Ovis aries: one gene and its partners. The protein of the gene in region 1 interacts with the protein of each later gene in a pairwise test. Links are inferred from orthologs where the notes say so. Each region holds a gene or a part of one and is shown in the gene's direction. Other genes may lie near its edges. The genes, in order: TOX4, BANP, TBX6, FNDC3B, ZMYND19 and ATXN1.

Region 1 (3,500 bases):
AGAGAACCAGTTTGCCCTCTGGCTATATCTCTTATGAAGGTTTTTCTCCTCACTGTTATCCTTATTTTGGTTGGCATTGTTGGGTTTTCTGAAAATCCTATACATATAGGAATTTTGTACAAATCATGATTTCTAAAACAGAAAAGAGGTAGGAAACTCTCAAGTGCATATATTTTAGAAGTGCATAAGGTCCCCGTGACAGTTCCTTTTAGGATTTGCTTCAGAGGACCCTAAAACAACAAAGTCTAATTGTCTGGTTGACGGTGAATTTCTGTGGTCTAACAGTTCAGGTGTAGTAATTATGAAATAATTGCTGTATCCTAGAATCTTCAGACAGATTTTAAGCATCATAACAAAATAGGTTATAAAGGTTGAGTCATTATTAATGGTGCTGAAAGAATCATTCATTAGACCAACAGGCAAAATAGTTTAGGACAACCAAGATGATAAAGGCAGAAGAGAGATACGTGAATTGAAAACTGTGATTTTGATATTGGCAGCTTTGTACATGACATACGGCCAAAGATATGAGGAAGAAGAGACTTATTTTTAAAATTAAATAAGTCCTAAGATATTGATAACAAAAATGGGATCCAGGCTGAAAAGAAGTACACTAAGAATGTCTAGTACTCAGGCACGTTCTTCTAGCAGTATGCAACTCCTCCTCTTTCCACTAAATCTTTTTCCTTTTTTCCCTCCCTACAGACGTTCCACACACCAAGCCTGGGTGATGAGGAATTTGAAATCCCACCTATCTCCTTGGATTCTGATCCCTCATTGGCTGTCTCAGATGTGGTTGGCCACTTTGATGACCTGGCAGACCCTTCCTCCTCTCAGGATGGCAGCTTTTCAGCCCAGTATGGGGTCCAGACGTTGGACATGCCTGTGGGCATGACCCATGGCTTAATGGAGCAGGGCGGGGGGCTCCTGAGTGGGGGCTTGACCATGGTAAGGGGCAAGACATTATCAGGCTTACCCAACCTCATGGGCATGGTGTTAGGGGAGATACAAGTGACTCTGTATGCCCTACCTAATTCCCTTGGGTATTATTTTTCATTCTTCTGACTAAAGGCTAATAAAGACCTCACTTCCCTTGAATAAGTGAGATTTATCATTTGAATCAATTTTTTTAAAAAACATGTTTTAAAACTGTAAAATGTCCAGTGTTAACCCTGAAATGAAAATTATTTATTGGATTTTTGAAAGAAAAGTTTTTTCCCTATTACATTATGGCTTTCACATTCTACAGTTCAAATGAGTATGATTGTTGGTATGTTGAGGGGTGTATTCAAAACCTGTCTGAACCATGAGTGGATTAAGAGGATTAATATGTGTTTCAGTGTATTGGGCTTCTAGCACATCTCATCAGCACGTCGACACACACTACACTTGATGCCAGACATCTCTTCTAACATTGGCTTTACTCTGATTTGCCTGTGCATCGAACTTTACCCAGCCATTATTTAAGAGGGTACAGGGATAAAGTTTTTCTTTCCCCTGTGTGTCATCACTATCTCCAGATTACTGAATGATTTACTTGCTCTGAACTTGCCCCAAATTAAGACTTCTTTGGCTGTTTTTAGTTATTTTGGAATAGGCCTTTAAGTACAAATAAGTGACTTAGTACACAACCTGTAATTTCTCTACTTATTAAAAAGCTTAGTATGTTTTATATGTAGATAAATTATTTGATGTTAGTTTAAATGATGATGCATTCTGGGTAAGCAGAGGGTTTATAAACTGTCCTGAATTCAGGTGCAGGGACGGGAAAGGTGGTGTTTTTTATATTTACTGTTTAATTTGTCCTTCTGCTTCTCTCAGGACTTGGATCATTCTATAGGAACTCAGTATAGTGCCAACCCACCGGTTACAATTGATGTACCAATGACAGACATGACATCTGGCTTGATGGGGCATAGCCAGTTGACCACCATTGATCAGTCAGAACTGAGTTCTCAACTTGGTCTGAGCTTAGGGGGTGGCACCATCCTGCCACCTGCCCAGTCACCTGAGGATCGTCTTTCAACCACCCCTTCACCTACAGGTTCACTTCATGAGGATGGTGTTGAGGAATTCCGGAGGGTAAGGCATTCTCTGCCAAAATCAAATCTGCCATGTTACACTGGGATAAAACCCTTGACATATAGATCCAACTAAGTTTTCTCTCCTACTGCCCTGCCATCTTCTCTGCTCTTTTCTGGTTATGGGGTCCTGCCTCTATTACAGTTTATAATGCTTTTTCCAACCCCCATACTTATCAGTCTTCACATACTTTACTAAAGCCTTAATCTTCTTGCCTCTGTTTTTATTTAGCATTTCTGAAAATTCCATTCATATGACTAGTTTACCCCATCTAAAAGTCCTTTTCTGTCAGTTCTCCAGATGTGATACTTCCCTCATAATTCTGTCTCTTTTCTCCTCACAGCAACCTCCCAGCCAGAAGACAGTTGTGGTGGAAGCAGGGAAAAAGCAGAAGGCTCCAAAGAAGAGAAAAAAGAAAGATCCTAATGAACCTCAAAAACCAGTTTCAGCATATGCTTTATTCTTTCGTGACACACAGGCTGCCATCAAGGGACAGAATCCCAATGCCACTTTTGGAGAGGTTTCAAAAATTGTTGCTTCTATGTGGGACAGTCTTGGAGAAGAGCAAAAACAGGTGAGCAAATAACGAGGAACAATGTTATAGAAGTTCTTAAGAATAAGGGGGATAGGGACTTCCATGCTGGTCCAGTGGCTAAGACTCCACGCTTCAGATGCAGTGGACCCAGGTTCAATCCCTGGTCAGGGAACTAGGCCCCACATGCCGCTACTAAGACCTGGTGCAGCAAAATAACTTTTTAAAAATTGGTTAAAAAAAAAAGGCAAGGGGATTAAACCTAAGCTTTAACTTTCTCAGATGTTATTTAATACCAACTCTTTGTTAATGGGATTCAAGATCATCTGTCTTAAAACTTCACTTTCATGCATTGGAGAAGCAAATGGCAACCCACTCCAGTGTTCTTGCCTGGAGAATCCAAGGGACGGAGGAGCCTGGTGGGCTGCTGTCTGTGGGGTTGCACAGAGTCAGACACGACTGAAGTGACTTAGCAGCAGCCTTAAAAATTGCAGCCATACCCTGAATCCAGAATACCTACATAAAAATTATTATAAAAAACACTGAATCCACAGCCAAGTTTGGAGTTTTTCATTGGCCTCATATAAACTTGAGAACTATAGTTAACCTCCCTAAATTTAACCTGAATTAAACAGATGAAAATTGTGTTACTACATAAATATACAATTGAAATGAAAGATGAATGTAATTATCATTACCCTAGCCTCAACAGGTGTTATATCAAAGTAAGTCTGCTACTTAATCATTAAAACAAAAACTGAATATATTACAGGTAATTTATATCAGTTATGTGTTGCTCAGTAAACCACCACAAATTTAGTAGCTTAAGACAGAAGTAATTTATTACTTATTATGATTCTGTAAATTGGTTAGGTGGTTTTCCTGG
Region 2 (4,076 bases), on another chromosome or scaffold:
AGGGTCGAGTTTCAGTCCTCCCTTCTCTGGAGGCCAGGGAAAAGTCCCATAATACCTGGGCATCTGTAGGTGGCAGGAGATGTCTGTAAGGCCACCCCTTTCGTCCCCCCCTCTCCTGCCTCCTCCCCCTTCTTCTTTCAACCTGGCTTCCTTTCCTCCCTTGAAATCTTTGATGTTAGTACCTGGATCTGAAGTTCTGTGTCTCTATAGGAGGTTTTCTGAGAGACTGTATTCTTGTATTTAAGGGCTTCCCTGGTGGTGCAGAGGTTAAAGCGTCTACCGGCAATGTGGGAGAGCTGGGTTTCATCCCTGGGTTGGGAAGATCCCCTGGAGAAGGAAATGGCAACCCACTCCAGTATTCTTGCCTGGAGAATCCCATGGACGGAGGAGCTTGGTGGGCTACAGTCCACGGGTTGCAAAGAGTCGGACACGACTGAGGGACTTCACTGTCACTTAATAAGAATTTTCCAGTTTGTTGTGATCCACACAGTCAAAAGTTTTAGCATAGACAATGAAGGAGAAGTAGATATTCTTCTGGAATTCTCTTGCTTTTTGTATGATCCAACAGATGTTGGCAATTTGATCTCTGGTTCCTCTCTGCCTTTTCTAAGGATACATAACAAACATCACAATACATAACATCAATTACACATAAAATATATATCACATATAATTAATATATATTTTTCTAGGAGCGTGTCTTTGAACCTGTGACGAACCTGGGAACCCCTGAGCTCGCCTGCTACTCAGGGGAACCCCGCTGCAGCAGTGGCCAGAGCCGCGCCCGGTGCAGCGGCCTTGCACACCTCAACTACAAGTCCCAGCATTCCATGCGCTGGCACGGGTCGGGGGGGATGGGACCACAAGTACCAGCAGGCTTCGCGCAGACGCAGGAACCACGAGTCCCAGAATGCACTGCTCGAGGCTTGCGCAGGGCCCTCCGGGACATGTAGTCGTCTATGGCGCTAATTCCTATTCATTAGGCCTCAAAGAAAATGCAAATTCCCCGAACGGTCCACCAACGCGACTTTTCAGGGGCTAGTGAGAAGCCTGAACGCGTGACAGAGAAGTAAGAAGTTTGGAGGCCAATCTGTGGCGAGGATGCAGGACCCGTGCGCATGCCCGGCGGTCGTCGGCGCCAGCCCAGCGCGGGCGGGAGATTCCGAGCAGCAGGCCCCGCCCTCGCGCCCTGCCCCGTCCCCGTTCCTCCTCCCGGTGAGCCTGCGCAGATGGTGCAGGGCGGAGGGCCGCGGGGAGGGACTCGCGGCGCCTGCGCAGAGCGGCGGCTTCTCTCGCGAGGACGGACGCCATTATCGCATCTCCCCGACAAACACCACGAGAATTCCGCAGCCCACACGGTAATTGCAGCTCCCGCAGCCGGTCGCGTCTCCACCTCCCCCTTCCCGCGGGGCGAGAGCGAGAGCGAGATCTCCCCTCCTCCCTCCTCCCTGCGCCCTCCTCCGGCCGCGGCGCCCGCGCCGCCGCCCCCGCCCCCCCGACACGGCCACCGGCCCCAACGGCCCGCCGTCCTGTGCGCCCCCGTCTCAGCCCTGTCAAGCCGCCTGCCCGCCGCGCCTCAGCGCACCCGCACCTGGCTCCGGCCGCCCATCCCCCGGCCCGCCGCCCCCGCCGTCGCGGTGCGCGGGGTCCGTCGCGGAGCGGGCCTCCCTTCCGGGACCAGGCCCGCAAGAGCAGCGTCCGGCCGCGGGCGGGCGGGGTGGGGTCGCGCTGCTGTTGCTGCGGTGTAGCCGCTCCGGGTCGTGAGGCCACGGGCTGGCAGGCGGCTAGGCGGCTCCCCCCCGGGAGGCCGGCGGCCGCGGACGCGGGGACAGCGGCTGCGGGCGGAAGTGCGGGAGGCGGCTGTTCTCGCTGGGCGGGCGGCGGGCCCGAGTGAGGAGCGGCCCTGGGGACCCCTGCCCGGTGCTCGGAATCTTCGAGCCGCCGGTAACGTTAACTCCGTGTGTTTAAAGCTCCTTTGCCCCCCCTTGTCTGGCGATTAAAATAAGCGTTTCCTCCTGGGACGTCGGGTCCTGTCACGGCTCCAATTTTGAGAAAGCTGATGCCGTGTGTGGGTCCAGTGCTGCGGCCAGTCCCGCCGGCGTTTCCAGCGCTTCTCATCGCGGCGGTCGGGTCAGGGGGACAGGGAGGTGGCTGCGGCCCACGGAGGGAAGGGGCTTCCCTGGGTCACACGGCCAGGTTTGAATGCGATCTGTCCCAAGTCCATGTTCTGAAAAAACTGCACACGTTTGATACTTTAATAAAGTAATGCCGCAAAGTGTCAATGGAAGACTATAAAACAACAGCCCCCACCCCACCTCCCAGTTCCACTCCTCCAAGACTTTATATTTTTGCTGTTTCATGAGGAAGTTCTTCGTTGCTATAAATAATAAGCTGGCACTTTACTGGTTTTATACATTCCTGACTTGCTGTTAACAGATAGGATGACTGACTTTTTCATATCGCGTCTCACCTCTATCCCCTGATCACTATGTTCAGTTCAGATTGTTTATAACTAAGCAGATATTCACAGCTAGGTAGTCTATTTCCCCTGTTATACGGGTTTTTGCTTTTTTCTGTTGTTTGTGATGGCCTTTCTTTTTCTTTGCACTTTTTGTTCCTGTTGACTCTTTACCTTTTATTATTTTTTTAACTATTCCCCGAGGCATGTGGGATCTTAGTTCTCTGGGGATTGAACCTGTTCCCCCTGCAATGGAAGCATGGAGTCTCAACCACTGGACTGCTAGGGAAGTCCCACTTTACCTTGTTTTAGATTCTGAAGGATGGCACTAAATCTCTCTTACCATCCCCCTCTCCCCAGCCTTGTGGTGGTCTTTTTCTAATCTGGATTGTTTACTCCTTAGACCAGCACCAGTATCATCTTGACATTTTTTTTTTTACTATATACAACTGAGTTTGTTCAGGTCTCGTGTTTTAATCTTGACTTCCTTTATTTCAGTGAGAACCTACTGCCAAGTAGCCTTATTCCTTTTGGATAACTCTTCAGGATCCTCTTTGGTATTAAGACATTTCCGGAATTCCCGAAAACTGTGTAGAGTCCTACTCTGACTGCTTTCTGACTCTGGGGACTTGTCCTTCAGCTCTGGAATCTGAAAGTCTTGTGTCATTTGAGAATGTCTTCTGCTCTGCTTTTGGTGGTGGTTTAGTCGCTAAGTTGTCCGACTCTTGTGGCCCCACGGACTGTAGCCTACCAGGCTTCTCTGTCCGTGGGACTCTCCAGGCAAGAATACTGGAGTGGGTTGCTATTTCCTTCTCCAGCTCTGCTTTTACTCTTCTGTTTTAGGAGTTTCTGTTAGTTTGATGATGGACATCTTGGATTAACCCTCTGAATCTTCTGTCATTATCTTCTTCCTGTGTCATCTTATTCTTGTTTCTGGGATAGAAACATTTATCCTCCAGTCCTACTTAAAAATTTTTCATTTCCACAATCAAAGTTTAATTTCTAAGGATTTATAATGTTCTTTTTTCATAATAATGTATTGTTTGATGAATGCATTTTTCTCCTTGACTTTGGGGATACTAGTAAGGGTTTTTTTGGTTCCCTTTTGTTCTCTGATTTCTTGTGTTCTGTTGTGTCACTGTTCTTTTCCTCTTTTTAAAAAGACGGGCTTCTTGCTTTGTGTGGCAAGTACTCTTCAAATACTGGAATTATTGTTGTCTAAGGCCAGAGGAAGCAGGCAGAGAACTCATGAGTTTGGGGGGCTGATTTTTTGGTCACACTCACATGGTGGCTTATGGAATTTTTGTTCCTCAACCAGGGATTGAACCTGGGCCCATAGCAGTGAAAGCATGGTGTCCTGACCTCTGGACCACCAGGGAATTCCCCCGTGGGACTGCTTTTGAAAATGTGCAGGTTTCCTATTGGGTTTTGGGGAACTTTTTGTTGTGCTGGGACCTCAAATGCCAGAAGGCAGATTTTCTCTGGGCCTCTCTGCTTAAGGAAGATGCCTTTGACTGGGGGCTGCTCCACTTGGTCTAGGGACGGCCCTTGTACAGCTCTTCGTACAGGGACCTGACTTCCATGTGCAGGCACAACCCTCACCCTCTCCTGGTTTGGA
Region 3 (2,809 bases), on another chromosome or scaffold:
AAAGAAAGCAAAAAGATCAGGACTGGAGAGATGAGTCCTGGAAAGGCCTCACTAAGAGGACATTTGAGAAGACTCGGAGGAAGTATGGAAGGGAACCATGTGAGTATCTGGGAACATGCCAGGGGCCTGGGGTAGGAGCATGCTACAGTATGGCTGGTGTGGAGTGAGAGGTAATAGGAGCCAGATTATGGTGGGCTGTAAAGTTTTGGTTAGGACATTAGCTTCTTCTAACTAACCCTAACCCCTCAGAGCTGGCCCTTGCCCTCAAGACACTTAGAATCAGGCAGAAGAGAGAGATATTAACTTAAGGATCACCCTGATGAATATGATAAATGTAACAGTATCGCTCTTGACAAGTTATCAGGGTAGCCCAGTGGAAAGAACCTGCCTGCCAATGCAGATGTGAATTTGATCCCTGGATCAGGAAGATCCCCTGGAGAAGGACATGGCAACACACTTCAGTATTCTTGCCCGGGCAATCCCATGGACAGAGGAGCCTGGCGGGCTACAATCCATGGGGTCACAAGAGAGTCCAATACAACTTAGCAACTAAGCAACTACTGTTTTCCAGTCATTTAATTCTCTGTCCTTCTATTCCTTTTTCTGTAAAATGGGTATAATAATGGCACCTACCTGATAGGGTCCCTGGGTGAAGTGCCTGGCACCTGGTAAGTGCCATTATTACCATCATCATCACCATTATCATCATCACCATCATCATCACTGTCCCCCAGGGAGCGAGACGCCCGTGTGAAGAGGAAACTGCGGGGCCCAGAGCCGGCAGCCACAGCAGGCTATGGGAGTGGAGGTGAGTGTCATTCCAGAGGTGATGGGACCAGGCCTGAGATGCCGATCCTCCTTAACCCGCTCTGGCCCTTCTGTCTCCCCAGATGCTCCAGGTGGTCCCTGTGATTCCACACTGGGTGGGGATGTTCGGGAGTCAGATCCAGAGCAGGCCCCAGTGCCTGGGGAAGCTGCCCCTGCCCCAGCTCCTCCCTGCAGTGGCCCCAGTGCTGAGGCCTACCTGCTGCACCCTGCCGCTTTCCACGGGGCCCCCAGTCACCTTCCAATCAGGTGAGTGGGTCAGCGGCACAGGGCTGGGCTGTTCCAGGCTGAGACGAGGGGGTGGTCCCCTCTCCCCTGTCCTGATACCTCTCCGCTCTTCGGGAATCCCAGCTTCCCGGAGGCTCCAGACTCTGGGCGCCCAGCCCCCTACTCAGCCGCCTTCCTGGAGCTGCAGCCCGGGCCAGCAGGCTCAGGATACCCAGCAGCAGCACCCTCAGCATCCTTTGCCTCGCACTTCCTCCAAGGGGGCCCCTTCCCACTGCCCTACCCTGGGCCTGGAGCTTACCTGGATGTGGGCTCCAAACCAATGTACTGAGCCTTTGCTAAGCCCCCTGCCTCCCTCCCCATCTTCCAGTTCCCTTCCCCCAGGCCTGTTGCCCCCTCACTTCCACTACCCCCTCCCCCACACCAAATGGCTGCCTTGGGCCTCCCCCACCCCACTTCACACTTTGATTTCACTCCCACCCCCTCTGGCTTCAAAGCTCTGGCTAAGCCGCTGGGAGTCCAGCTGGGGCCAGCTTCCCCTTCCAGGCTCTCACCTCGGTGTGAATGGAGGGGCTCTGCCTGGCCAAATGGGGCCTGGGACCAGCACTCCCACCCCCAGCCTCACCCTTGGGCTCTACAAGTCCTACCCCCTCCCCAGGGCGAGCCACACGGGTCTGTTCTCAGGTCCAGAGTATTTTTGTTAATAAAACTCGAAAGACGTCAGTGCTCTGGAAACACTATGGTCTTTGGCCCTGAGTGGGGCTGGTTGAGCAGAGGTTTTGTGAGGAGACGCAGGCCCCAATCAAGACTTGTCATTTCCAGCTGCTTGACCTTGTGAATCTAACTAAGTCAATGCTCAGGGTCTGCTTCCTCTTCAGGAAGATGGAGGAATCTGTCTTGACATGACATTCTGAGAATTAAACAGGGCTGCCCGAGAACCCAGCCCTCTCCCTGGCACTCAGGAAACCCCCAGCAGTGATCACTGTCACTGGATGGGGACCAGGAGGCTCTGGGCAAGCTAACCGGCCTGAGCCTCACCTTGCTGGCAGGATTAGGGTTCTGGGGCATCAAAGTCCTGATATAAATCCCAGGTCCAAGGCCGGTACCACTGCTCATACCCAGTCAACACCAACCGAAAGACCATTTTTCTTCTTTTATTAGAATTTTTTTCTTTTTTTTTTGTTTTCTCAAAATTTTTATCTAAAAACAAACCAAAAAAAAAAAAAGAAGGAAAAAAAGAAAACCAAAATTATTGGAAACTTCATGGTTCAAGTGGGGAGACGGGAGGAGGAGCATGGAACTGAGGCTCCCAGCCTCTCCAGAAAAGTCCTCACCCTCGAAGTGCCCTCTGTTGCAGGGAGAGCAAAGCCGGGGACAGCCCCCCCCATGCCCAGCCTCCGTCTGAAGAGGGCAGAGTCACAGTGGTCCGGGGGCCGGAGGGGGGCAGGGCCGAAGGGGTCACAGGAAGTAGTCGGCCACAGGCTTTTTGGAGGGGATGCCCCGTGTCTCTTGGGGAGCGGCCTCGAAGATGATGAAATCTTTCTGGAGATGCTCATCCAGCTCCAAGATGGCTGCCACATTCCCACAGCTGGAAGTCGGGGGGAAGGCGGGGGCAGCAGTGTTAACAGCGTGGCTCAGCCTGGATCCCTACCTCAACCTCCCCAGCCCAGGCAGCTCACCGGTAGCAGTAGTTGGGTGCCGACCACACAGTGAGTACAGTCTCGTTGAAGTGCCACTTGTAACCTTCCATCACCAGTTG
Region 4 (3,500 bases), on another chromosome or scaffold:
TCCACATTCTGTTTAATGTACGTGGGCTTGGGTTTGTGAACGCCCAGCCCTATGGCCCATCCTCCTGTTCCTGATGGTGCCGCAGGTGCTATTCACCCCCTGCCCTCAGAGGGTACTGTTCTAGAAAATGTTTCAGAGCAGGAATTCCCCAACTTTATTCATAAAATAAAAGTTGTGCTTAATAAAGAGGTTAAACCAAGAAACTCTTCATTAGGTAGCATATGTATCCTCCTCACCTTTACCACCCTGTCGTGTGTGGGTCCTGGTGTTTTACAGTCTCAGCTCAAGCTATGTTAGCATTTCCTGTCATATTAATGATTCACAGCATGTAAAATTGCAAATATAAACTTGCAGAACTCTGTTAGACTATTGTTCCCCATCACTTAATATCTAAATTAAGATGTTATGCCAGTTTGGGGTTCTCTAACTTGATTTAATATGTCCTTTGGTTTCAGGTTAAAAAGATTTTTCTCCCCTCTAATTCTTGTCTTTACCTTGCATTAGAATGTAAAGGAATTGCCTAAAAGTTCTATGGTTTTGGAATCATTTTGTTCATATCATTAAATGTGCTTGCTTTGAAAAGTATGGATAACATCATTAAGAAACTTTCTTTTGTATCTCTTTCTCTTTTTGAAGTGGGGGTTCTTTTGTAAATATCAAGGACAGGCTACCTACATGATATTTTGCAAACATCATAGAATGTAAGGTGTGATAGGGCCAACCAGAAATAATAAAAATGTTCTAAGATGAACAGCGTTCTCCATTCGCAGACGTTCCTGCCTCTGAAAGTGGCTGTGAGGTCTCGGAGTACAGCGTGGAGATGACAGAACCGGAGGATGTAGCTTCGGAGGTGTACCATGGGCCGGAGCTTGAGTGCACCGTGGGTAACCTGCTTCCAGGAACTGTGTATCGCTTCAGGGTGCGGGCTCTGAATGACGGAGGGGTGAGTACTTATCACGACAAAAGCATGAGGTCCTGGCACTTCCATTTCCACCCTCCTAAAATTCCTCATCTGTATCTGTCCAACGATGACAGCCATTAAAGAACTGTACGTAAAACCTTATTTCTGAAGAAACCCTGCTTTGGTTTCACGTAGACCCAGCATTGGAAATTTTGATTCTTTTGTCCTCCTGTTAAGACAGAGCTCAAAGTTAATAAGGACTTTGCCGTTTAGATGCCTTTTGGTGGTTTCTTAAAATAATTTCCTAGATAAATCACTTATGAGAAGTTAGAACTACATAATATTCCTTTACCATGTTGTCTAAATTACTCAGCAGTGTCTTAGGTGAGTTTTTAAAACTCCACTGGGGTATAGGCTAGGGAGACCAGCTTATTTGTTTTTTTTTTTTTAATTTCATAGAACTCTCTGGTCCTTTCTAGTACTCCATTTGAAGTTGTTGAGGTGGGCTATTCAAGATTGAAAGGGTCTGACTATATGCACGAAGGTGACTGGATTTTTTAATTGCAGAGTGATGTGGATTCATAGTGAGAATAAAGTGACCCAGAAACTATAGGGCTTTTTGGTGTGTCACAGATGGGCAGAAATGTAAAAGAAGGTGGAAGGGTGTGGGTAGGGCAAACTGCTGCTAACGCCCTACAGAGAGCCAATGAAGTGTATAAATGCATTCTGTACAAATAAATAGATGTAATTAATCAATGAGATTTTTGTAAGAAAGAAAGCCAAACGGACAGTGACAGGAAGTTGGCAATGACTTTTCTAGTTCTTGGTGTTCATTCATGCCTTTCAGAAGTGAAGTGTTTTTGTCTTTAGTCCATTTTGAGTTAGCCAGGCCTTAGTTTGAAAACATTTGGTCTGAAGTAGGATCACAAACCTTGAACAAGAGCTGGATCTCTTCTAATTCACCATTAGGAAAGAATTTCAGATACAGGTATTTACATTTAAAAAAAAAAACACACACACAAAACTAGACAATTAAAATGTATTGGTGAGAGATAAGAAAGCCTCTGTACCCTGACTTTTTATAAGTAAAAAGAGGATGGATGGTGATAATCACCCATACTGCAGATGAAACTCTGGTGCTTTTCCCCTTCAACTTTTGAAGAAGATATTCGCCATGATAAAGACACATGTGCAGCTGGACTGATTGGGGTTTACTTTCTCCTTTTACTAATTTGTCATTTAAAGAAACTATCTCAGCCTTATTTTTAAATCCTGTTATATTGAATTTGAACCATATATTTGACTTGTGGTCCTCTTCTGTGGTCTACTCCAGACAGTTTCTCCCCCACCTTCAGTATATTTGCAAGTTATATTAGAAAATGTCAAAGACTTTTTTTCTTTATGTTTTTTCCTCCATTTTGAAAAACACAGTCATATTCCTCATTCAGTTCAGTTCAGTTTAGTTGCTCAGTTGTGTCCAACTCTTTGTGACCCCATGAAACACAGCATACCAGGCCTCCCTGTTCATCAGCAACTCCCAGAGTCTACTCAGACTCAGGTCCATCAAGTCGATGATGCCATCCAGCCATCTCATCCTCTGTCATCCCCTTCTCCTCCTCCCCCCAATCCCTCCCAGCATCAGGGTCTTTTCCAATGAGGCAACTCTTCGCATGAGGTGGCCAAAGTATTGGAGTTTCAGCGTTAGCATCAGTCCTTCCAATGAACACCCAGGACTAGTCTCCTTTACGATGGACTGGTTGGACTTCCTCATTAGCCTGAAAATTACTTTACTCTTTGCCCCAGTTCTTTTAAGTACCACATATTCCACCTTAACGTGGGGGTTCTGGTCCTCTCGATGCATTTTACGTCTATAGAGATGATTGTCTCTGAGCAGTGTGACCGCTGATGGTGGAGGAGGAGAGAATGCAGTATAAAGCTGCAGATAGTTGAGATGGTGGGCCTGCCAAGCAAACATTAATAGGACTGTTGGTTTCAAATTGAAAAATACCAGTGACTAGAAGAAATACTCAAAATTTGATAACCAACAATTCCACACAGATTTTTAGGCCTTAAGCTACAGTATGCATCTGACTTGGTTTAGTTTGAAATGCCCTGAGAAATTAAAGCACAATGCTGTGATGTAGCAAAAGTCAGCATTTTTTATTTCTTAGGTCACAGCAAAAATGTATAATAAACCAACTTTCTAATCCTTTAGAATTAAAAAAATTTTATATATATATATATATATATATAAAATAGACATTTACCACTCAAGTAATGTATGTGGGAAGAAAATCTACTCATGTAATTGAAAGTGAACACCATTAAGTAATGCTTTTAATCAGTTGTATTGATGATACCATTAGCCTAGCCCTTGTTTGGTTATAAGCTTGTGTTATATGCACACACACACAAACACACACACTCCTTGTTTGGTATAAGCTTGTGTTGTGTGCACACACACACGCACGCACATCCCTAACACACCCCTACAAGCACATGTGTGTTTCTCTCTTGCAGTATGGTCCCTATTCTGATGTCTCAGAAATTACCACTGCTGCAGGGCCTCCTGGACAGTGCAAAGCACCTTGTATCTCTT
Region 5 (4,017 bases), on another chromosome or scaffold:
GCTCCCCAGACCCCACACCCTTCCCAACCTCCACCTCTCTGGCCATGTGCCCTGTTGCTCTGATGCGTTCATTGGCTCACAGAGACCGCCTCCGCTTTTCAAAAACGCCCAGCTGGGGCCAGATTAGGGCCTTGGCACTGGGCTCTCCCCGCTGCTGGGGATGCTGTTCCCCTGGAGCCCGCAGAGCTCACCCGCTCTCTCCCCCCCAGTTTGCTCAGGTTACTTGGCAGTGAGATCTACCCCGCCTCCACTTTCCCGGGGCCTCCAACTCCCTGATGCTGGTCTACTCGTTTCCCCACAGCGTTGATCACTTTCTAACAAGGCGAGTAACTCGCTGGTCATGGGCCTTTTCTGCCTCCCTCGCTAGAACAGGAGCAGGGGTTTGCTTGGTGCACCGGTGTAGAGCGGTTTCATTGGGGGTTGGGAGCGAGAGCCATTTGGAGTGGTTGCCAGGAGACAGGTATACCCCCAACCCCCGACCCCGAATCGTCAGGTCTGGGAGTTCCTGTTCGGGAAGGATTTGGAGCAGGCTTTTCAGCGCCCCTTCTCGAAGCCCAGGGAAGGATCGTGTCGCACAGGCATGGGCTATGGGATCCTGATCCCGGCCCATGCGCGGAGGCGGCCAGGGAGAAGGGCGGGCGCAGTTCCCGGTCAGCCAACAGCGCTCGCTGGGCTCCCACGTTCCGAGGGCACTGGACCCAGCCACGGAGTCATACGGGCCCCGGGACTCCGGATCCGCGAATCCACCCCGGCCTCCAGCCCTCTGTCCAGGGACTAGTCACAGGGAGCCGCAGCCAGCCCCGACCTGCAGGGCCCGGACGGCCCAGGGTGCCCAGCCAAACCGCCCGTTGCGCGGGCCGAGGCCGGGCTCGGGGGTCTGCGCTGCGAGCGGGTGGCGCACCCTCCCGCACAAAGCTTCCCGCGAAACTGACGTAGCGCCGGGCGGCCGCGCAGGCTCCGCCCCCGGCCGCGCCCCTCCCCGGCGCGCTCGCCGCGCCCCAACGCGCCTGCGCACTCGCCCTCCCGCCACTGGCTGCGGCGTGGCGGCGCGCGCCGGCCGGCGCCCTGCGCGCCGCGCGATTGGCCAGGCGGCGGCGGGCGGGGGTGTGTCCGCCGCGCGCCCCGCCCCTGGCTCCGCTCGCGGAGGTGCGCGCGGCGGTGGTGGCGGCGGCGGCGGCGGCGGCGCGTGGCAGGTCCGGCGGGCGCCCGGCGGCGGCGGCCCGACCCCGGCCCAGCCTCGTCCCGCCCGCCCGCCCGCCTGGCCCCGTTCCCGGCCCCCACTCGCCCGCCCGGCGCGCCGCGGCCCCGCCCCGGCACCTCCCGAGGGAGCGGCGCCGCCGGCCGAGCGCAGGCCCGGCCATGACCGACTTCAAATTGGGCATCGTGCGGCTCGGCCGGGTGGCCGGAAAGGTGCGCGGCGCGGCCTGGGGCCGGCGTCGGGCGGGAGGCGTGGGGCGCCGGGCCGGGGCCGAGGGCCGGGGCTGGGGTGAGGCTAGGGGCTGAGCGGCGCTGGGGGGCGCGGGCGCGGGCTGGGAGTCGGAGTCGGCGTCGGGGGTGCGAGGCTGGGGGCGCAGGGCCCGGCCAGCGCGGCGGGACGCACGGGCACAGGCCCTAGGTTCGCCGGCGGCCTGGTTCCTGGGGCAGCTTTGGTCCAGTGCCGGCTCCGGCCGTGCGCCGTGGGTCGAGGGCTGCGGCTGTGCCTGCGGCCGCGGGGAGCGCAGGCCCTTCCGGGGCAGCGCGCTCGGTCTCCGGCGGCCCCTGCGGGTCCGTAGTGAGCTTCGCGCAGGGCTCGGGCTGCTCGCGGCGGCCCCGTCGGGCTGAGCCTCAGTTGGCCTCGGCCGAGCGGGGCCTCCCTCTGCTTCTCTCCCTTACCGGGCCCCGCCCTCCGCGTGTTCGAGGCTGGGGCTTCCTGGCACCTGTGGGCATTGAGGCTTGGCTGTTTCCAGGAGCCGGCCGGCCGTGCAGCTGAACCAGCCACGGACCTTACCCTGGATGGGAACCCTGTTCCCATCACCAGCGGCGGAAGCTTCTGGTGGGAGAGAGGAGCAGAGGCAGTCAGATGAAGGTAAAGCCGGTTCAGATAACTAGTAAAAAGCTCTCCAAGCGAAAGTGAGACTGGTCCATTTCGGGGACCGTTTCCTGCCCTCCCGCAAAGGGCAGTCACTTTCTAACTACGGAAGGGTGGGCTCCTTATTAGCCTTGCGATCTCTGCAACTCAGCGGTTGTCTGCAGTAATGCCATCCTTTAAAACTTTTACTTGGAACGTGTTAGACGAAGAGATAGGAGGGACAGTTCCATGAGCACCTGTGTGCCGCCTGCCTGATGGTTGGAACCTTCCAGATATTCTGCTTCAATCCCGGGGCCCTGCCTCTATTCTTGTGACACCGTGGTCTCGGACTGGGCTTATGGACACATTGACACGCACAGCTTAGTGGATGAGCAGTTAGTTCTCAGGCACTTCTCATGGCTAGTCGTGAGCAGACGGCAGGTGGGGCCTGGCGCCACAGCTGTGCGCTGTGCTAAGTGGGGAGAGAGCGGCCTTTGGCACATCTGCCTGCCTTCAGGGTGGATTGGCCGCTCTGAGCCCGTGAGGGCTGCTCCTGCCTACTGTTAGTGCCCTGTGCTGATTCCAAATGTGACGTCTTCAAACGTTAATTTCCAGACCAAGTATACGCTGATAGATGAGCAGGACATCCCGCTGGTGGAGGGCTACTCGTTCGAGGTAAGGATTCTGCTCCTTTGCTGGCCTGCCTACGGTCGTGCCAAGGGGGGTCATGAGGGGTAGGTCTTCACCCCTGTGACGTGAGGCAGGCCCTTGCATGTGAGCTGCTCAAGCAGGCGGGTGAAGCCCTGTCCAGAACCCTGGTCTCCAGGGAACCTGTCTGTCAGTGTGGACCCCCCCCCCCCACCGCCTCCGTGATGCTTGCTGTCTTTCTCACTTCCACGTTGCTTGCAGGCTCTTCCCAAAAAAGAGACAAATGGTGCCATGTCTGTGATTGAGTTCAGTCGGATAAACTGCTGTGCCCAGGGAGACTGTCCAGGACTGCCCCACCTCCTCTCCAGCCTCGGCCTCCTGCAGGGCCCGGTGCCTTTGTTCTTACCTGGCTGTTTGGGCTCCAGTCCTCACCTGCCTGCTCCTCCCTCCACCCTGTAGACCCAGCCCACTCCTGTCTCACCCTTCACCCTTTTATGCTTGCTTGTTCCAGGGCTTACCTTTTTTTTACTGGATTAGGGACTTTTTTTTTTAAGGGTAGGGAGATTTATTTCCCTGTGTCCACGTCCACAGTATTTTGCAAAGAGTGGTTCTTAAGTGTGTCTTGCCTTCATGTAGGCGGGTACTTCTCCGTGCCACGTGTCTGGAAGCCTCCAGAGACCACCAAGGTCCCAGGAACAGGCCTGGCCTTTGTCCCTCTGGCTTGTTTCCTTCGTTTTTCTAAGAGGAATTTGGAATGTTGTGGAGAATTGCAGGCTTTTTAACAGAGCTTTTTCTTGTTTCTTCTCAGGCCCGGATGGAAGTAGACGCAGATGGAAATGGTGCTAAGATATTTGCATATGCCTTTGACAAAAACCGAGGGAGGGGGTCGGGACGGCTCCTTCATGAGCTGCTGTGGTAGGTGTTTCCAAGCTGCTGCTTCCCTTTCTGGGTTAGCACCAGCCTTGCGGTGCGAGGGGCTTGGGCAGCCAGAGGCCCTTCTGCCTCGTCGACAGATGATACCTTGCCCAGGCCTCCCAGTCACGTCTTTGTCATTGCCCCTGCCTGGAAGGATGGCTGCTCTGCGTCCCCTGGCGCTGGCAGGGTGGCCTGAGAGTCTGTAGGCCATGTGCCCTTCCTGCTCCCAGCACTCGGGCCACAGCGCCTCTGGAGGCGGGTGGAGTCTGGCCCCTTCTAGGTCCCTTTGAGCTTGGCGGTGGGGCACGGGGAAGAGCCGTCCTCCCTTCTGTGTGAACGCTGAGGTTCCGGAGTGCTTGGGCCCACTCAGCGGTGTCCCCCAGGCTGTGTGCGAGGTGGCTTGGGGC
Region 6 (4,085 bases), on another chromosome or scaffold:
CCCTCCTCCAGCAGATCTTCCCAACCCAGGGAGGGTTGAACCAGCGTCTCTGGTGTCTTCTGCATTGTAGGTGGGGTTTTTTTTTTTTTTTAATCACTAGCGCCATCTATGTGGAGAGACTCTATTTCCAAATAAAGCCATACTCCCTGCACTGGGGACTAGATGTATCTCTCCGGGAACAAAATTCAACCCACAACAATGGGAACTCTCACGGAGAACTGACTAGTGAGGGGTGCCACATAAACGGAGCGATAAAAGGAAAACAGTGACATGTGAAATTGTAAGTGGAGGTCAGACGGGTTTGGGAGTAACAGGAAATATTAGATAAGAGACGCTCTCATTTAGGAGACTCTTTCCATCTGTGCTTACGGCCCTGATTTTTTTCTTTTCTGTCAGAGTTAAAAAAAAATTGTATAAATAAAAAGAATAAGAAAATAGCACTTCGCTGACTCACACATTGGGCAGAACCACAAACTCCTGTGATAATCAGGAAAGACTTCGCAGAAATGTTGGTGCTTGGGTTGGATCCTGGAGGATGGGAATAAAAATTGCCCTGCAAAGAAGGGCTTCCCAGGTAGGGAGAAAGTATATGGAAAAGCACAATGTTATTTAGGCGATCCACCCTTTATGCCTTAAGTAGGGTGAAGAGTCTCTGTAAGGAAGGCCCAGATTGTCTGCTTAATCTCTGTTACTAAGAAATGGTATTAAAGAAAGGAAGGGGCAGAGATGTTTCTGGTTTTGATAAATGCACAAATCAGCTCACAGTAACCTGAAAGAACACTAGGAGCATCTCTAAGGGGGAGTTCGTTCTTGGACACATTTGCCAAAGCACAAATATGGAAACCCCGCCCTCAGCCAGATCCGAAGAAATCAAAAGGCTGATGTGGTATAAATTCCTCTGCCCTGATTGCATAAAGGAGATGTGCCAACATTTTTTTCTCTGATATATTCCTTTCTGCACAGAGAGCTCAACTGGATTCTTAAAAACCTGATCGTGAACTGAGATAGGCAATTCTGAATCACCACCAGGATCTAGGAAAATTAACTCCTCACTGATCTTCCTAGATAAGCTCCCAATCTCGCTGCCTCTCAGATCAGCACTGGGATCTGGCGAGGTTTCTGCCACAGAGCAACTCCCTTTTTTGGCATAAGAATGTACAGGATGCCAGTAAAGTTCACGCTGGGTCATCTAAGTCTCTTTAAATGCGCGATGATTCATTGCTGGGGGTGGGGGCGAGAGGAGTGAGGGGGAAGGAAGTGCTGAGCTGAGAGGCGGAGCGAAGTCATTATGAAATTGACTGCAGAAAAGCTGGCGCTGGGAGTGCTGGGGTCACATGGTCTTACTATTGGTATTTCAGCTACAAGTTTTAAACCAGAGATAGGGGGAGGGGTTGGGAAGCATCACCTTGAAGCTTGATCGGCTTTCAGAGGAGATGCCTCCGTTGATGGCTGGCATGTTGATTAGAATTACAATGGGGGTATTAATTTCTCTTTTTATCTGACAGAAAAAGAAAAGTTCTCCCATGACAGTATGGCTAGCAGAACAAGAATCTGGCTGTAAGTGGTGTAAGTGAACCGTTTGTCTTTTTCTGCTTGATTTACTGGCATTCTAGCTGACAGGGTCCTCCATTCTGTGCGTTCATTTTTGTACTTAAAAAGGGATTGTTTGTAATTTACAGTTGAAGTCTGAGTGCTATTAGTCTGCTCGGTCAGCATGGATAGCAGGAGCAATCGCTCCATGTCAGTGCCAGGGCGCAAAGCAAATTTGGATCTTCAGTGGTCAGTCTTGAGAGCTCCCCAAAGTTACCCAGCAGTTAAACTCTGGAGCGGCCCTGAAGCACAGGGCTTCTGCAAATAACAAACTGCCTGACAAACCCTGCTGAAATCCTGACACGGACAGTTTCCTCTAGTTGTTTATGTCAAAAGGCAAAGTTTGCCAATGCATTTTTCTCTGGCTCTTCCTCTTTGGGGTAAACTTGGTAAATTCCTCATAAAATAATTGTCTTAAACTCTGACCTGCATTTGGATCAGCTTTTCCTAGCCAAAACTGACTCAAGAAAAACAAAGGCACGGTGAGAGCTTATAGCTATGTATTTTAATGTCTTGAAGTCAGAATAACAATTTGATGGCTATCATTGTCCCTGATCTTAGTTTGAAGGCACCACAAGCTTTACCTTCACAACCCATCAACTGCCTCTATCTTAAGTGTAAACAATGGTGGCTTTGGGCTTTGGTTTTAATTTGGAAAATGTATTTCTTTTGAGGAAACAAAATGCCAAGTTGTTAATGACGTGTTTTTAATAGATTTCCAAATGCTCCTGGCCAATACTGAGCAAAGTTCAACTCACTCATTCTGAGCCTTAAAATGTTGTTCAATTTCATGTAAGAAGAGCTATGTTCTATAGATGCATAAAACCACAAATTCTGTTATTTTATAAGTCACTGCAGTACATTCAATGTTGATAATAGTTATATTGATGAAAATGTATCTAGGTCTTGCTTGCAAAATAAATGGTAATGGTTAAAATTCATCTCATTTCCTTTTGACATATGCTATTGTAGTAAATATATTAGAAATTGTTTAAAAAAAAACCCACAGATTTCCTTTTGGCTTTGATTTGTTTTCTAGGGAAGCAGTAACTGTATACTTTTCATTATCCACACCTAAATGGCCTAAAGCCATTTCTTATTAAAAGATGTCACCCTCAACCATTCAGCTGTCACTCCAGAAAGCGTGTGCTTTCTAAAACACAGAACGAGTTTTCCATCAGCTTCCCAGGGTGGCAAAGTATCTGAAGCCTGTCCCTACCCCACCCTGAGAGACTGACTCTTAACAAATTTTTAGTCTAACATAAAGCCTAACAAATTTTAAGCCTAGCATATCTCAGGATTATGCCTTTACCAACAGCTTACTCTCAGAGATATTTTAATAAGGGGTAAAGTGCATGTTGGGCTTCCCAGGTGACTCAGTTGGTAAAGAATCTGCCCACAATGCAGGAGACCTGGGTTCAATCCCTGGGTCAGGAAGATCCTCTGGAGAAGGGAATGGCAACCCACTCCAGTATTCTTGCCTGGAGAATTCCATGGACAGGGGAGCCTGGCAGGCTACAGTTCGTGGGGTCCCAAAGAGTCAGACATGACTGAGTGACTAACACTCACTTTTCAAGGGCAGTGTTATACACTGCAAGGGGGGAATCTCAGGAAGGTAGAAAAGTAACCAAATCACCTACTACACTACTGCAATAAGATCTCCAATTATGGTTCTTAGAACTAATTCCTGCACCTCCCCAGCCCCACTGACTTTACTAGTGCTGTGCATTAGAAGCATAATGGACACATGTCATTGTAAATCTTATAGTAGGCACACTAAAATGTAAAAAGAAACAGGTAAGTTAATTTTAACAATATTTTTATGTAACCTAATATATGTAGAATATTTTCATTTTAACATTTGATCAATATAAACATTGAGATACTATATGAACTTATGTGTATATATGTGCATGTATGTACATGTTCTAAGTCTTTAAAATCCAAGGTATATTTTACAATTACAGCCCATCTCAAGTGCTTAACAATCATATTGGACAGTACAGACCTATGCTAAAGCACTTGTTTTTGTTTTCACTGTAGACAGAATCTTATTTAAAATTGCCTAATATGTGTACTATTAAGTCATAAACTGTCAGCAGATGTTTAAACACAATGATTTTAATTTCACTCTTGACCATTGCTGATGTCACTTTCATTACCCAGAAGCCTGTGCTGCTACAGTCTGGTGGAGGGTCAAGAAAGCTGATTCAGAAGCATGTCTTTTAAGAGTCTCCATGCCAAGGACAGAGCCCAGTGACTTCAGTTTGGGTGTGGTGAGTTGACCTCAGAGTCTATTGTGTGAGTGGTTTTCACTTTTGTTTTTAGTTTATTTTACTTTTCTGGTCTCTCAGCTTTATTTGGAAGTGCAGTCTAAGGAAAGCATATTGGTTTTGTAAGCACGCTATGGTTTGCTCAGATTTTTAAATGATATATATAGGCTACCACTCTCCTTATAATACCATGGTTAAAGAACTGTCAGTGTTTCCACCAGC

Evidence for each region.
Region 2: the proteins of TOX4 (region 1) and BANP interact in binary tests that used the Homo sapiens proteins (3 or more experiments, as listed by UniProt). The two-hybrid records come from large-scale screens. The link is inferred for Ovis aries from reciprocal best matches to the Homo sapiens genes TOX4 and BANP.
Region 3: the proteins of TOX4 (region 1) and TBX6 interact in binary tests that used the Homo sapiens proteins (3 or more experiments, as listed by UniProt). The link is inferred for Ovis aries from reciprocal best matches to the Homo sapiens genes TOX4 and TBX6.
Region 4: the proteins of TOX4 (region 1) and FNDC3B interact in binary tests that used the Homo sapiens proteins (3 or more experiments, as listed by UniProt). The two-hybrid records come from large-scale screens. The link is inferred for Ovis aries from reciprocal best matches to the Homo sapiens genes TOX4 and FNDC3B.
Region 5: the proteins of TOX4 (region 1) and ZMYND19 interact in binary tests that used the Homo sapiens proteins (3 or more experiments, as listed by UniProt). The two-hybrid records come from large-scale screens. The link is inferred for Ovis aries from reciprocal best matches to the Homo sapiens genes TOX4 and ZMYND19.
Region 6: the proteins of TOX4 (region 1) and ATXN1 interact in binary tests that used the Homo sapiens proteins (3 or more experiments, as listed by UniProt). The link is inferred for Ovis aries from reciprocal best matches to the Homo sapiens genes TOX4 and ATXN1.

What each region holds. Positions count from the first base shown.
Region 1 is NC_056060.1:24,030,969-24,034,468, reverse strand, and holds part of TOX4 (TOX high mobility group box family member 4), read left to right. Parts: intron 1-705; coding exon 706-948; intron 949-1,821; coding exon 1,822-2,082; intron 2,083-2,425; coding exon 2,426-2,656; intron 2,657-3,500. UniProt on the Homo sapiens protein: Transcription factor that modulates cell fate reprogramming from the somatic state to the pluripotent and neuronal fate. In liver, controls the expression of hormone-regulated gluconeogenic genes such as G6PC1 and PCK1.
Region 2 is NC_056067.1:12,929,279-12,933,354, forward strand, and holds the start of BANP (protein BANP), read left to right. Parts: upstream 1-1,276; 5' UTR 1,277-1,944; intron 1,945-4,076. UniProt on the Homo sapiens protein: Controls V(D)J recombination during T-cell development by repressing T-cell receptor (TCR) beta enhancer function. Binds to scaffold/matrix attachment region beta (S/MARbeta), an ATC-rich DNA sequence located upstream of the TCR beta enhancer.
Region 3 is NC_056077.1:26,714,251-26,717,059, forward strand, and holds the end of TBX6 (T-box transcription factor TBX6), read left to right. Parts: intron 1-734; coding exon 735-808; intron 809-890; coding exon 891-1,074; intron 1,075-1,176; coding exon 1,177-1,381; 3' UTR 1,382-2,309; downstream 2,310-2,809. Other genes in the region: PPP4C (serine/threonine-protein phosphatase 4 catalytic subunit), read right to left, coding at 2,509-2,638, 2,730-2,809. UniProt on the Homo sapiens protein: T-box transcription factor that plays an essential role in the determination of the fate of axial stem cells: neural vs mesodermal. Acts in part by down-regulating, a specific enhancer (N1) of SOX2, to inhibit neural development.
Region 4 is NC_056054.1:215,866,093-215,869,592, reverse strand, and holds part of FNDC3B (fibronectin type III domain-containing protein 3B), read left to right. Parts: intron 1-770; coding exon 771-943; intron 944-3,421; coding exon 3,422-3,500. UniProt on the Homo sapiens protein: May be a positive regulator of adipogenesis.
Region 5 is NC_056056.1:398,259-402,275, forward strand, and holds the start of ZMYND19 (zinc finger MYND domain-containing protein 19), read left to right. Parts: upstream 1-1,217; 5' UTR 1,218-1,359; coding exon 1,360-1,410; intron 1,411-1,946; exon of another isoform or gene 1,947-2,059; coding exon of another isoform or gene 2,060-2,065; intron 2,066-2,662; coding exon 2,663-2,722; intron 2,723-3,503; coding exon 3,504-3,610; intron 3,611-4,017. UniProt on the Homo sapiens protein: May be involved as a regulatory molecule in GPR24/MCH-R1 signaling.
Region 6 is NC_056073.1:39,589,978-39,594,062, forward strand, and holds the start of ATXN1 (ataxin-1), read left to right. Parts: upstream 1-1,285; 5' UTR 1,286-1,566; intron 1,567-3,756; 5' UTR 3,757-3,866; intron 3,867-4,085. UniProt on the Homo sapiens protein: Chromatin-binding factor that repress Notch signaling in the absence of Notch intracellular domain by acting as a CBF1 corepressor. Binds to the HEY promoter and might assist, along with NCOR2, RBPJ-mediated repression. Binds RNA in vitro.